Linked DNA regions of Oryctolagus cuniculus. The protein of the gene in region 3 interacts with the protein of the main gene of each other region in a pairwise test. Links are inferred from orthologs where the notes say so. Each region holds a gene or a part of one and is shown on either strand. Other genes may lie near its edges.

What was found.
Region 1: the proteins of YAE1 (region 3) and CEP126 interact in a two-hybrid assay, tested with the Homo sapiens proteins (2 studies listed by BioGRID and IntAct). The link is inferred for Oryctolagus cuniculus from reciprocal best matches to the Homo sapiens genes YAE1 and CEP126.
Region 2: the proteins of YAE1 (region 3) and CHD3 interact in a two-hybrid assay, tested with the Homo sapiens proteins (2 studies listed by BioGRID and IntAct). The link is inferred for Oryctolagus cuniculus from reciprocal best matches to the Homo sapiens genes YAE1 and CHD3.

The regions. Positions count from the first base shown.
Region 1 is NC_091432.1:93,387,109-93,391,711, forward strand, and holds part of CEP126 (centrosomal protein of 126 kDa), read left to right. Parts: intron 1-3,413; coding exon 3,414-4,603. UniProt on the Homo sapiens protein: Participates in cytokinesis. Necessary for microtubules and mitotic spindle organization. Involved in primary cilium formation.
Region 2 is NC_091448.1:52,445,185-52,449,787, forward strand, and holds part of CHD3 (chromodomain-helicase-DNA-binding protein 3), read left to right. Parts: intron 1-220; coding exon 221-338; intron 339-549; coding exon 550-674; intron 675-864; coding exon 865-1,096; intron 1,097-1,431; coding exon 1,432-1,598; intron 1,599-2,583; coding exon 2,584-2,761; intron 2,762-3,192; coding exon 3,193-3,258; intron 3,259-3,614; coding exon 3,615-3,700; intron 3,701-3,788; coding exon 3,789-3,922; intron 3,923-4,050; exon of another isoform or gene 4,051-4,187; intron 4,188-4,458; coding exon 4,459-4,603.
Region 3 is NC_091447.1:29,675,976-29,681,047, reverse strand, and holds the start of YAE1 (protein YAE1 homolog), read right to left. Parts: upstream 3,479-5,072; 5' UTR 3,411-3,478; coding exon 3,282-3,410; intron 1,282-3,281; coding exon 1,160-1,281; intron 1-1,159. UniProt on the Homo sapiens protein: The complex LTO1:YAE1 functions as a target specific adapter that probably recruits apo-ABCE1 to the cytosolic iron-sulfur protein assembly (CIA) complex machinery. May be required for biogenesis of the large ribosomal subunit and initiation of translation.

The DNA.
Region 1 (4,603 bases), on a different chromosome or scaffold from region 3:
TGACTCATCTAACAATAAATCAATGGTGGCAAGGTAAAGAAAGCAAACAAGGTTTCTGCTGGCTTTGATGATATGCCTTCCTGCCACAACCAACTTTAGATCTGAATATAATATATGAAACATCTGTTGTTAGACATTCAACCATAAGCAGTACCGTTGATAAGTTTGAAAAACTGAAACAATTAATAGCCCTTCTGAGTTCCTAGGCTTTCTGTGAGATATAATCTTTAGACAACACTCAAAAAAAAAAAAAAATCCACAAGTAACCTAGCTGCCTGTCAATAAAAAACATTCTCTTAAGACTGAAATCTAGCCGGCGCCGTGGCTCAATAGGCTAATCCTCCACCTTGCGGCGCCGGCACACCGGGTTCTAGTCCCGGTTGGGGCGCCGGATTCTGTCCCGGTTGCCCCTCTTCCAGGCCAGCTCTCTGCTATGGCCAGGGAGTGCAGTGGAGGATGGCCCAGGTGCTTGGGCCCTGCACCCCATGGGAGACCAGGAAAAGCACCTGGCTCCTGGCTCCTGCCAGGATCAGCGCGGTGCGCCGGCTGCAGCGGCGGCCATTGGAGGGTGAACCAGCGGCAAAGGAAGACCTTTCTCTCTCTGTCTCTCTCTCACTGTCCACTCTGCCTGTCAAAAAAAAAAAAAAAAAAAAAAAAAAAAAGACTGAAATCTAAACATACAGCAATATAACGCTCACAATGTCAACACTGAATCAAAGGTTATCAGACATATGATGGACCAGAAAATATGAACCATAACACGGAGAAAATTTGCAACAAAATCCGACACAAAATGGCAGCAATGATGGAAATAATAGCCAAGGGATTTAAAATCATTTTGACAATATTTTCAAGGAATTAAAATAGATTTGAACATAATGAAGAAAGATATTTTTAAAATAACCAAATAGACATTCTGGAACTAAAATCTTAATATCTGAAATGAAAAGTTTACTGGATAGACTAAACGATGAAGTCATTTCAGAATAAAAGAACAGTGGATTTGAACACATAACAACAGAAATTATCCAAACTGAAACAGTGGAAAAGAAAATACTGGAAAAAACTTGAGTGTCAGTGACCTATAAGACAATATTAAATATTTAACACATTTAATTAAAATCACACAAAGAGAGAAAATATTTGAAGAAACCATGACTGAAAATGTTTCAAATTTGATGCTTATAAATCCAAATCCAAGAAATTCAACCAACTCCAACAGTAAGTATCATTGTACACATACACACATACACACACACACACACACACACACACTACACAAAGGCAAATCAAAATCTAATTAAGCCAAAGGAAAGAATAATATACTACACACAGGGAAGCAAAAATAAGATGAAATATATAATGTATAAATGAAGGTGAGCATTTTTCAATGGTTAATGATTAGAAAATTCTTGAAATATAGTCATTCTAGAAGAAGCTTCTAACCCAGATCTGTTTGTCTTATAGATTTAGTCTCAAAGAAAGCCCTCTAGGCCAAGTTTCTTTCCTTATCATCATCAATAAAATAATAAGAATAGACATTGAAGTAACTGCTTTGTTTTGTTCTCTTAACTGGGTTGAGTGACCATCCCTTTAGGAAAAGTACTGAAGGCTGTGATGAATAGAGGATAAATGCTATAAATATAATGCTCTCATGACTCATTTTCAAAGTTTCACAGTAATATATTAATATACATTTATCATATAAACAAAAATTTTTATTCTAGAATGTTTTGATTTCTTGGTTTACTTTCTGGACTAGAAAAAGAATATGTTTCTAATACCAGAATGTTTAAATTTTCTAAAATTTATGACATCTATATTAGTATTTCTTTTAAAGATTTATTTATTTATTTAAAGTCAGAGTTACAGAGAGAGAAAGAGCAAGAGATCTTCCATTTGCTGATTCATGCCTAAGCTGGCCCAACTGCCAAGGCTGAGCCCTGCCAAAGCCAGGAGCCAGGAGCTTCACCCGGGTCTCCCACATGGGTAGTAGGGTCCCAAATGAAACATCTTCCACTGTTTTCCTCAGACCACTAACAGGGATTTGGATCAAAAGTGGAACAGCCAGGACATGAACTGACCTGAATATGGGATGCCAACATTGTAGGCAGTACCTTTACTCGCTACGCCACAATGTCACCCTCTATGGCACATTATAAGGGGCACTAATTTTCTTTCTTTGAGTTCATTTAACTTTGGCCTAGATTTAAATTTAATATCTTCTTATAATTTATTTCTGTATATGCATTATATGGACTACATATATCCAATATGTATAGATTAATCCATTTTAGATATGAGTGAGAAATGAGAACTACTTTAAAACATTTACCATACTTTGAAGTGATCATGAAATTGTATTTAAAATTAATAAATTTCATGGAAATTTCAGTGAGATACTGGTAAAATTGTCTATAGAACTTAAAAAAGTTATTACTATGCTAAATCTTCAAAAAGGAGTCATTAATCTCGATATTTCTTAACCATAAATCTGTATTAGAATTATGCAGAGAATTTAAAAATAATAAAAATGCCAATACATAGACCCTATCCAAATGATAAGCCATGAGGACTCATAAATAGGTATTTTACAAGTTTTCTTACATGATTCTAACATAGAATCAGAGTTCAAAACCTTACTATATACTACAAGATTAACTTTTTTAAATTTTTTTTTTATTTTTTGACAGGCAGAGTGGACAGTGAGAGAGAGACAGAGAGGAAGGTCTTCCTTTTTCCATTGGTTCACCCCACAATGGCCGCGCTGATCCGAAGCCAGGAGTCAGGTGCTTCTCCTGGTCTCCCATGCGGGTGCAGGGCCCAAGCACTTGGGCCATCCTCCACTGCACTCCTGGGCCACAGCAGAGAGCTGGACAGGAAGAGGAGCAAGCAGGACAGAATCGGGCACCCCGACCGGGACTAGAACCTGGTGTGCCGGCGCCACAGGTGGAGGATTAGCCTATTGAGCCGTGGCGCCAGCCAAGATTAACTTTTATAAAAAGGATCTATCTCTTAAAAACAGAAAGCTCATTTTAGAATCACAGAGCTTTTAGGAGCCACATTTAAGAGCAGTGGCTATTTCAGGAAAAAATCCAGAATTTTTCTTGCTTTTATGAAACCTTCAAGAAACTCCCTACTCTAAGTGGGGTAGCAAAATTATTGATAATTAATAACAAAATTATTTTCTAAGCTGTAACTGTGAATAGCATAATCAGATATTGTTCCTTTAGGAGTTAAGGCAAACAAATTTTACTATAACTTTTTGTTACCCTCCTACTTTTTGCACTGGAGACTGTTGCAAGGATATAAATTATTTATTTATCCACATTCTATGTAATCATATTACTCTATTTTGCATGCCAAGGAAAATTGGATGGATTTAAAAACAGTGTTCCTTTTTTTTTTCCCAGAAATTTTGTGATGAAGTTAATCGAATAACCAACTCTGAAACCCTCTCAAGTATAGACAGTCTAGAGGTTGGAGAACGTGAAGATATATATTTAACACTTAATAAGGAATCTTCTACATCAATCCAGCCAAATTCTCTTTCCCTTGGATCTGCAAATCTACAATCAGCTAATCCAAGTTGCTTTGTTGAAGATAAACTGTCATTCTCCAAGACTCAACATATAAATAATTGGCTAACAAATTTAGATGCTCCAACTACTCATGCTGCTGCACCTTTCTCAGATATTTTAAGTAAATCTAATGTACCTTCCTGGGAACACTTAATTAGTAAAAAACAAAGCCCATCTACTTTCAGTACAACCATGGAAAGAGCCACAAGTACTGCAAATAATTCAGTGGCCTTTGTGTATAGTCCACCTGTATTTGAAGCGGATAAAAAAAGAGGAAACTCCTCTGAAACAAGCACTAGGAGCACAACTGACTGCACTTCTGAAGCATTCAAAAATGAGAAGCCATTAGTTACCGAGAGCCCAACATTTAGATTCAGTAAAGCCTGGACTGCTCCAGATTATGTAGCCCAGGAAGTGGCTACATTTTCAGACCAACAGAAGCATTCTGAAGAAACTCAAACAAATAGAACTACTTCAGTTCCTACTTCATTTCTATCAGCTACAACACCTTTAGTTTTGCCATCTAATACACAATCAGCTAGGCCTTTAGCAAAGAGTGGTATACACGTAAAAGAAATAAACCCAGTGCAGTGTTCTGATAAGTTAGATGAATTGAAAGATGTTAAAGATGAAAAGATAAAATATTTTAACTGTAATAAGGAAGAGTTGCCTTTATTTTCTAGTTTAAAAGATAAAAAACAAAGAGCATCTGAAACATTAACATCATTGTCTAATATAATTTCTAATTATGATTTAGTTGGCCAACACAAGAAAATGAAATATAACATTCATGAGAGAAACGGTGTGAGGTTTCTTAAGAGTATTTTAAAGAAAGAATCTAAATATGAACATGATTATCTTAAGACAATTATTATAAATCAGGGCTTTACATTTGGAAATCAAAAAGCATCAGCTATCAGAGATAGTATTGAATTAACAAAACAAAAAGGGAAAGGTACAGAAATCCCAAAGACAATTAAAAAACTGAGGTGGTTTGATGAAACTAGCAATATAGAAAACAA
Region 2 (4,603 bases), on a different chromosome or scaffold from region 3:
TCTTCAGAAGGCCCATAGATTTCCCTGGGGTGTCTTCACGGGTCTCAGAGAAGAACCTGTGTCTGAAAGGGAGAGTGTGGCAGAAATTGGGATGATGGGCGGGTAGCGGGAGGCGCACCGCGGGAGCTGACAGGGCTGGGGTCGGAGTGAAGGGACCCTTCAGGACAGGCCTGTCCCTCTGCCTCGGTGTTCTGCACTCCCGCCTTTGCTCTTGCTCCAGATGACCAAAATGTTGGACTTGCTGGAGGACTTCCTGGACTATGAAGGCTACAAATATGAGCGCATCGACGGTGGCATCACCGGCGCCCTGAGGCAGGAGGCCATCGATCGGTTCAATGGTGAGAGGGAAATGCCTTGGTCTCTGGTGGGCATGGGAGACCCCAGAAACTGTGCCAAGTCCCTGGGATGGGAGGGGGCTGGTGTGGGGCACATGGGGCATGTGGATTCTCAGCTGGGACCATGGTTGCCTGTGGTCAGGGAACATCTTGTGGCACGTGGACAGAACCGCTGGGTACAAGAAAAACTCGGTCCTTTAATTCTCACCTCCAGCTCCTGGGGCCCAGCAGTTCTGCTTCCTGCTGTCCACTCGAGCCGGGGGCCTGGGCATCAACCTGGCCACTGCTGACACTGTCATCATCTTTGATTCTGACTGGAACCCCCATAATGACATCCAGGTGGGAACCCACGTCGTGGTGCCCCGTTTAGCAAGGAGCCGTGGGTTCACAGGGGGGGTTGCCGTGCTCTGGGGTCAGACACAGACCTCTCCTGGGAGGGAGAAGACCCTCCTGGCCAGCCTCCTTTCCTGAGCGTGTGAGCAGCCTCTCTTCTGCTCCCCCTGCCCGCCCCTGCCTTCTCCCACTGCAGGCCTTCAGCCGGGCTCATCGCATCGGCCAGGCCAACAAAGTGATGATTTACCGCTTTGTGACTCGGGCGTCGGTGGAAGAGCGAATCACGCAGGTGGCCAAGAGGAAGATGATGCTGACACACCTGGTGGTGCGGCCGGGGCTGGGCTCCAAGGCGGGCTCCATGTCCAAGCAGGAGCTTGACGACATCCTCAAATTTGGCACCGAGGAACTGTTCAAGGACGAAAATGAGGGTGAGACCCTCTCCCGCAGCTCCCTGAGAGCAGACCCCTGCCCTCCCGTGAGTCCCTGGCTCCTGCGGCCCCCTGGCGGGAAAACGGCTCTGCCGCCATTGCAGGGAGAAAAGCCTGCTTCCGGTGGTCCTGGGAGGAGAGCTGGCCTTTCTCCTGCCTGTAGGGTTAAAAAACCAAACCAAACCAAACCAAACCTGGAATCGGCTCCCAGGGAGAGAACCTCCTCCAGGCTTCCCCAGAAAGAGGCAGAAATGAGGGCTCTCCTCAGACCTTCCTGGAGCTGTGCCTGGGGTCCTGGCGGGAAACCGCAACCCTGTCCTGTTTCCCGACCCCAGGGGAGAACAAGGAGGAGGACAGCAGCGTGATCCACTATGACAATGAGGCCATAGCCAGGCTGCTGGACCGGAACCAGGATGCCACGGAGGACACGGACGTGCAGAACATGAACGAGTACCTCAGCTCCTTCAAGGTGGCCCAGTACGTCGTGCGGGAAGAGGACAAGGTGAGGGGCGTGGGGGCCGGACGCTGTCTGTCCCAAGCTGTCTCTGATGCCGTGTCTCTGGAGCTCCAAGCGGGAGCCTTCAAGCAGGACCCATTGCTCTTGTTTTTTTATTGCTCTCTTGACCTAGCACCCAGCAAAGCAGAGTGGATCTTAAACAACTTAAAAAAAGTTTTCTGAAAGGCAGTCTGCTGGTTTACTTCCTAAGTGGCCACGACAGTTGGGGCTGGGCTGAGCTTTACAAAGCCAGGAGCCTGGAACTCAGTCTGGGGCTCCCATGTGGGTGGCAGGGACCTAAGCAATTGAGCCTTTGTTTGCTGCTCCCGGGGTGCACCTTAGCAGGAGCCAGGTCTCAGCCCCAGGCACTCTGATGTGTGATGTGGGCGTCCCCAAGTGGCATCTTTTTTTTAAGATTTATTTGTTTGAAAGGCAGAGCTACAGAAAGGGAAAGAGCAAGCAACGGCCAGAACTGAGCCAATCCTGAGCCAGGAGCCAGGAGCTTCATACAGGTCTCCCACATGGGTGCAGCATACCCAGGCCATAGCAGAGAGCTGGATAGGAAGTGGAGCAGCCAGGACTCGCACCGGTGCCCATATGTGATGCCAGAACTGCAGGAGGTGGCTTTACCCACCATGCCACGGTGCTGCCCACCTCCAGTGGCATCTGTATCACTATGGCAAAGGCTTGCCCCTGAAACAACCTGTAGTCTCACACATGAGACTAGGCTTTAGAGAGTGACTTCGGCACAAAGTCCCGGTGAGCACAAAAGGGCACTTGCGACTCAGTGCAGGGCACGCAGAGGGTTAGGGAAGGGGCTTAGCAGTGACAGAGGCACAGGGTGCAGTGCAGCAAGGGCTGGCGCAGGAGATGTCCAGTGTCCAACAAAGGTCGGCAGAGCTGAGGGGGAGCCCGGGGGTGGGGTGCTGCCAGAGGCAGTGGTGCAAGGACCGGAGAAGGAGGCCCCAGCAGTCGCTGTGCTGCCCTTCAGATCGAGGAGATCGAGCGAGAGATCATCAAGCAGGAGGAGAACGTGGACCCCGACTACTGGGAGAAGCTGCTGAGGCACCACTACGAGCAGCAGCAGGAGGACCTGGCCCGCAACCTCGGCAAGGGCAAGCGGGTCCGCAAGCAGGTCAACTACAACGATGCTGCTCAGGAGGACCAGGGTGAGGACCCCGGATGCAGGAAGCGGGGAGGGAGGACGTGATCATGATGGGTAGGGGCCTGGAGGCTGGGGCTGCCTAGAGAGAGAGCGGCGTGGAGGCGGGGCCTTCCCCTGCTCGGGAGAACGCAGTCAGGAGGGGTCGGTAGGAACCATCAGAGGCCAGGTGGGCTTGCAGGCAACTTAGACGGTCTGGGGGCTGCAGAGGAATCCTGTGGACGCCCACAGGTCATTGCTTCGAGTAGGTTCAGCAGGACTCGGGGCAGTACAAGAGATGCCCAGTGAGTGGACAAGGCCGAGGATATGTGGCCGTGAGGTCAGGCTGCAGGCAGTGACCTAGCACCCCCAAGGGGGCCGAGGCCAGAGAGGAGGGGACCCCAGCGTGGCCTACCCAGGAAGCCGTCACTGACCGCGGAGCCCTTGTTTCCCTCACAGATAACCAGTCGGAGTACTCGGTGGGATCAGAGGAGGAGGACGAAGACTTTGACGAGCGTCCTGAAGGTGGCTGTTTTCCTGACTTTCTCCCTGTGCTCTTCCCTCATGGTTTTTTGGTAGAAAAACTAAAGATTGCAGATGGGCAGGAAGAGAGAAGTGTCTGTAACCTCGCCATTGTGATGGTCTGCGGGCTTAGGAAGGTTCCATCATTTTACTTCCCTGCCGTGTCCAATAGTTGTTGTTAATGTTTTAGTAAGACTTGATTCTTTTAGACTCTCTGGGTGAGTAGTTCTGAAAAGGCTCGGAGGAAAATCAGGAGTACCTCAGACATAACCCAGGGCGCCCCTGAGTTCCGTGTGTTGCGGGAGTGGGTGCTGACGCTGGTGGATGCGCTCAATAACCCGTGTCACCTCGGCCCTCAGGGCGCCGCCAGTCAAAGAGGCAGCTCCGGAATGAAAAGGACAAGCCACTGCCTCCACTGCTGGCTCGAGTTGGGGGCAACATTGAGGTGAGAGCTGGGCCCAGGCCCGTCAGGGGCTGTGGGCACTGAAGGCTGGGGCCCAAGTCAAGACCTGCCTCCTTGCCCTCGCCCTCAGGTGTTGGGGTTCAACACGCGCCAGCGGAAGGCCTTCCTCAATGCTGTGATGCGCTGGGGGATGCCGCCGCAGGATGCCTTCACCACGCAGTGGCTGGTGCGGGACCTGAGGGGCAAGACGGAGAAGGAGTTCAAGTGAGTGCGGGGATGTGGCGCTGAGTGGGACAGAAGGGGAAGCCTTGGGCGTTGCTGTCTTCCTCTTGGCCACCACGTGATGTGACCTTACTCAACTGATCCCACCCTCCCTGCTGTGTGACATGTCCTGGCTCAGTTTCCTGGGGGGTGAGCTCAGCCTCCCCCACCTCCCCTCAGCTGAGCCTAGAGGAGACAGGCCAGGCACCTGCCCCCTGGAGAGGCGTTTAAGTAAGGAGCCTCGCCTGGCTGCCCTGGCCTCACATTTACTTGGCCTCAGCCACGTGGCAGGAGGAGCTGGTGGAACGGATGAAGAGCTGACTGATGGGGCCCAGGAACAAAGCACCAAGGCCTAAGAGTTGTGGGGGAGGGCGGAAGGGCATAACGGAGAGTTAGGATTTGGGGGGCTGAGAGTGGCAAGGGGGAGAGGCCCAGGGGAGGAACCTGGGGGCACCTGAGTTCAGTAATTCCTGTGCCTCCCTCACTGCCCTGTACCCCTTCTGAGGCTCCCTAACCCCCTCCCACCCCCATGCTCCTAGGGCCTATGTGTCTCTGTTCATGCGCCATCTGTGTGAGCCTGGGGCAGACGGCTCAGAGACCTTCGCTGATGGAGTCCCCCGGGAGGGACTGAGTCGCCAGCAGGTGCTGACCCGCATCGGAGTCATGTCTCTCGTGAAGAAGAAG
Region 3 (5,072 bases):
CTGTCTCTTTCACACTGCCTTTAAAATATATAAATGAATAAATATTTAAAAATTCAGCAGTAAGCTAAGCTTATAAAAGATTAATTTAACTTGATGTGAAGATGAACACTTGATCAATATCCTACTATAGTATACTAATTCTAGTTTGTGACTTAATTAATGAATTAAAATTAATTCTAGTTCTAGTTGACTTTTCTAAAATGCCAAACACAACTTTTTGCTTTGTTTTACTAATTTTTTAGCTTCTAAAATTATTAGTGATTCTTTAAAGCAGCTTTCTCTCCAGAGGACAGCTTGAAAGGTATAAAGCAGGAGCTGGCATTGTGGTGTAGCAGGTACGGCTGCCATCTGCAATGCCTGCAATCCACAGGGGCATGGGTGCCGGTTCAAGTCCTGGCTGCTCAATTTCTGATTCTGCCCCTGGCTAATGGCCTGGGAAAAGCAGTGGAGGATGGTCCAAGTGCTTTGGCCCCTGCTAGACATGTGGGAGACTGCAAGAAGCTCCTGGCCTCGGCCCGGCTAGGTGCTGGCTGTTGTGGTCTTCTGTGGGGATGAACGAGAAGATGGAAGACCTCTCCACCTCTCTCCCCCTCTCTCTCTCCCCCTCTCTTTAACTCTGCCTTTTAAGTAAATAAATAAGTTAAAAACAACAGTCTAAAGCATCAAGGAGGACAGACCTGTCAGGTCTTAGCTCCATCTGATCATTTGGTTCTGCCATATGCTGTTACTGCCCTGGCTTCCCGACAGGTATTCAATGTTAAGGACTACAATACATGGAATCATTTTACCTTTATTACTCACTACAATTTCCATCTACTTCTAGTTTAGAGGTCTGTCATATTGGGTTCTGCCAAATGTGCAAGTACTAAAAGTTTTATTTAAAGCCTGAAGATCTTGTAATTAGAGACTGGCAGTAATTCTGGTAGCAAAGAGTACACACCCTCTTACTGTTTCCATGCCCAAAAAAGGGACAACAGCTGGCTCACATATTAAAATGGATGAGCTGATAATGATTTTTACTCTTTGAAGGCAACATTCTATGTTTTTCCACACTCTTGTGTATTCAACAGCAGAAAGAAGCACTTTAAATGTTTATTTTTAATATTCATAAAAATCATCCTGTAATATTAAAGATTCAGCATTTAAATTTCTGAATTACCTCAGTGTTCCTCTGAGTTCTCCATAGTTTACAATGATTGCTGCACCTTCTTTATAGCCTTGATTGAAGCCCTGTTGAAGAGCAACTGCTTTGCCAGCATCGATTCCTTCTCTATAGCCTTCCTAAAAATAAGCAATGAACAACTACAGTTGTAACTAATACCAAGTGAACCATATGTAGGCTTTTCTAGAAAGGCACAGACCCAATTTAGAAAACTGATGAAACTGGCTTTTACTGCATTCTTGAAAATAATATGGTATAGCCCCACAAGCAATGCAGGTTATGTTCCTCATAAAAATTTATTACCGGTTTATTGTTCCTTATCCCACTTTTGAAGTGTGTTCTCACCCAGTTTTTAACACCTCTGTTTTAGCAATGTCTTCACAGAAAGGAAACATGGAAACTTACATGTCTGGCCCTCTGGCAACTGAGTGGAAAGGTGTGAGTGGGTGAGGAGACAGAACAAAGTAAGGAAAGGCAAAACTGTTTTAGAAGGAAAGTGAGAAGCCTGGTTTTAGAAATTTTGCTTGATCCTGAAATCCAAGTAAATTCTCTGTGGACAGAAACTTTGTTCTGCATGTCCCAAGTATGTCACAGTACTCAAAAGATGCTTATTATTGGGGCCAGCACTGTGGAAAAGGGGGTAAAGTGGCTGCCTGCAGTGCTGGCATTCCATACAGGCTCTGGTTTGAGTCCTCGCTGCTCCACTTCCGATCCAGCTCTCTGCTATGGCCTGGGAAAGCAGTAGAAGATGGCCCAAGACCTTGGGACCCTGCACTGGGAGGAAGCTCCTGGCTCCTGGCTTCAGATTGGCCCAGCTCCAGCTGATGGGGCTTTTTGGGGAGTGATCCAGCAGATGGGAGACCTCTCTCTCTCTGCTCTGTAACTGTAACTTTGTCTTTCAAGTAAATAAATAAATTCTGAGAGAGAGAGAGAAAGAGAGAGATGTGGCAGTATTGACTGGTCCAGCCTTAGCGTCACATAAAACTTTTTGTAACTGACAACGTGGTTGCTGAACTAAGCAAATATTGTTTTGCTGAAACATTAATTTGGGGCAGATCCCCAATACAGCTTTAGGAGCAATTTAATGGCTGGCAAATATAGTAAGTGGAAGCAACCCCCACCATTTAGTCTTCACCCAGTACTAAGCTCTGAGTACTCCATCTGGAAATTACGCTTAGACTCAACAAATAAAATTAGACATGAATAATTCACATCCAACAAATAAGAAGAAAATTGGTTTTAATATTCCCTTACTTGGTCATCAGTATTCCATCTTAGCTTTCTCCTACTGCCTTTTTTTTTTTTTTTAATATTTACTTGTTTGTTTGAAACGCAAAATTACAGAGATGCAGGGGCAGAGAGAGATCTTCCATCAGCTGGTTCATTCCCAAATGGCTGCAACTGCTGGAGCTGAGCTGATCCGAAGCCAGGAGCTTTTTCTGGGTCTCCCACGTGGGTGCAGGGGCCCAAGGACCTGGGACATCTTCTACTGCTTTCCCAGGCCACGGCAGAGAGCTGCTCAGAAGTGGAGCAGCCGGGACTCGAATCAACTCCCATATGGGATTCGGGCACTGCAGGAGGTGGCTTTACCCGCTATGCCACAGCCCCGACCCCTCTCCTACTGCCTTTAACATTGTAAAGTTCACTTTTTTCGTGTATCTTGGTTAAAACACTCCTAACTCTGGGCTCCCCACCCACTCAAGCTGCCCGTGGAAGCCTGAATGCGCGTCCTTTGACAGCCATAATCAGCAGTCAAGTAATCACTGTATTGGTATGTCTCTCCCCCACCCACTTCCCTGTGATCATCATCAGACAGCAATCGCTTCCAAGTGTGGACAACATGTGTTTTGGTGGGCGTCCCGCTTCTCCAACGCCCTCCCGCAAGCGCTCAAACAACGCGTCTCTGGGGTTCACCCGCTTCCAAGCAACCCACTGGGAAATCCTGGCGGGACGCGGGGCGCACCGCGTGGCAAAGGGTAAGGACGGCGGCGCTAGCCAGACTGGGACCACTGGGACCACGGTGGGCCCGGCTTCTTCACAAACTCGGGGCTCCGCTCCACCACAGCCCGGCACCCCCCGGGGTCCCCGCACCCTTCCCACCCCCCTCCCCCGGCTTTACTTTCACTCGTTTCTGCATGTGACTCCGCCATTCCCGCTGTACCAGGAGCGACTCGTCAGCTTCCTCATCAAACACGTCCCCCTCCTCGGCCGGGCTCTGGACCGAGGGGGTAGCCCGAACCCACGACATCACCGAGATGGCTACGGAGCCGCAGGCAACAGGAAACACCCGCGACTCCTTCCGGTGTGAGGGGCGGGACGAAGACTGCGCTCCTGGCGCTCAGGGCGGGTGCGCGTGCGCCGAGGCGATCCGTCGTGGTTGCGGGCTGTCCAGCCTGACGTCCAGAGCTTTTGGACTCGCGGACTTTGGGACTAAGTCAGTTAACACAGTGTGTCCGTGTGCACCTTGATTCCTTCCTCGGCTGGGGCGTGACCTTGATCAGACCCCGCATTCCTGTCGTAGACTGCAGTGTTCTGGGTGTGGGAGAGGCTCCTTTTGTAAAATCACTCAAGGCGGTTGAGCCAGTACTGCCCAAAGACTGTCTCAGAATCTCAGCGTGTTCAGGGGACGTGACAACCTGACACGGATTGATTGTTAGGAGCTTGGAGCAAAGAGCAAAAGAGTCAGAGAGTGAACTACTGCGGCCCATTTGAGATCAATAGGAAATAGAAAGGTTGCCTTTGCCATCGATACATCTTCCTTGATTCTCAGTATCCTTCGCTGCCTTCCACTCTTGCTCACGTGCGCTAAATGCAAACTGTGATCTTGGCGAGGGCGGGAACTTGTCTGCCCCAGCACCAGCAGGTTCTGACACTGCAGGTGAAAGCACCCCAGTGGCATCCCGTTTTGCCTTTGTTTGTGTGGGTAAATGAGTCCTGTGACAGTCGTGGTTTGTTTGTCTTACCTTTTCTTGAATACCTGTGTGTCTGGATACATTAGTGAATAAAACAGATAAAAGTTCCTAGCCCTTTGGATTTTATTCCTGTAGAATTTGCAGAGCACACACAGCAAACAAATATGAGTAACTTAGGTAGTTTGAAGATTATAAATAATAAATGTTATGAAACAAATTTAAAACAAGTAAAGTAAAGGGAATCCTGAGTGTGTGTGTGTGTGGGGGGGCGAGTGGATGGTGCAGGCTACAGATTTAAATTTTAGAATTTTGCATCTCACAAATATATAACCTGTAAAAGGCATATATTAAGTAAACTCTTAAAAATGTATTTGTTAATTAGAAACAAAATGGCAATAAAGGAATCAATAAAAACAATTGAATAACGTTGACTAGCTGAGCGCATTTAGCCTAGTGCGTGAGATGCTAGCCTCCTGCATTGGAGTGCCTTCATTAGAAGCCAGCCTCTCACTTTGTTTGGAGTGCCTGAGTTTGATGTGCAGCTCTGACTCCTGACTCCAGCTTCCTGCTAATGCAGACCCTGGGAAGCAGTGGTGATAGCGCAAGTGGGTTCCTGCTGCTCACATGGGAGACTTTGATTGCCTTCCCAGCTCCCAACTTTGTCCAGCTCCAGCCTAGATTATCACTGGTATTTTGGGAAGTGAAGCAGTGCCTAGGAGCTCCCCCTCTTTGTCTATCTCTCAAATAAAATTAAAAAATAGAAAATCTTTTTTTGAAAAGATTTATTTATTTGAAAGTCAGAGTTACACAGAGGGAGGAGAGGCAGAGAGAGAGAGAGAGAGAGAGAGAGAGAGAGAGAGAGAGAGTCTTACATCCGCTGGTTCACTCCTCAATTGGCTGCAACAGCCAGAGCTGCGCTGATCCGAAGCCAGGAGCTAGTAGCTTCTTCCGGGTCTCCCACGAAGGAACAGGGGCCCAAGCACTTGGGCCATCTTCTA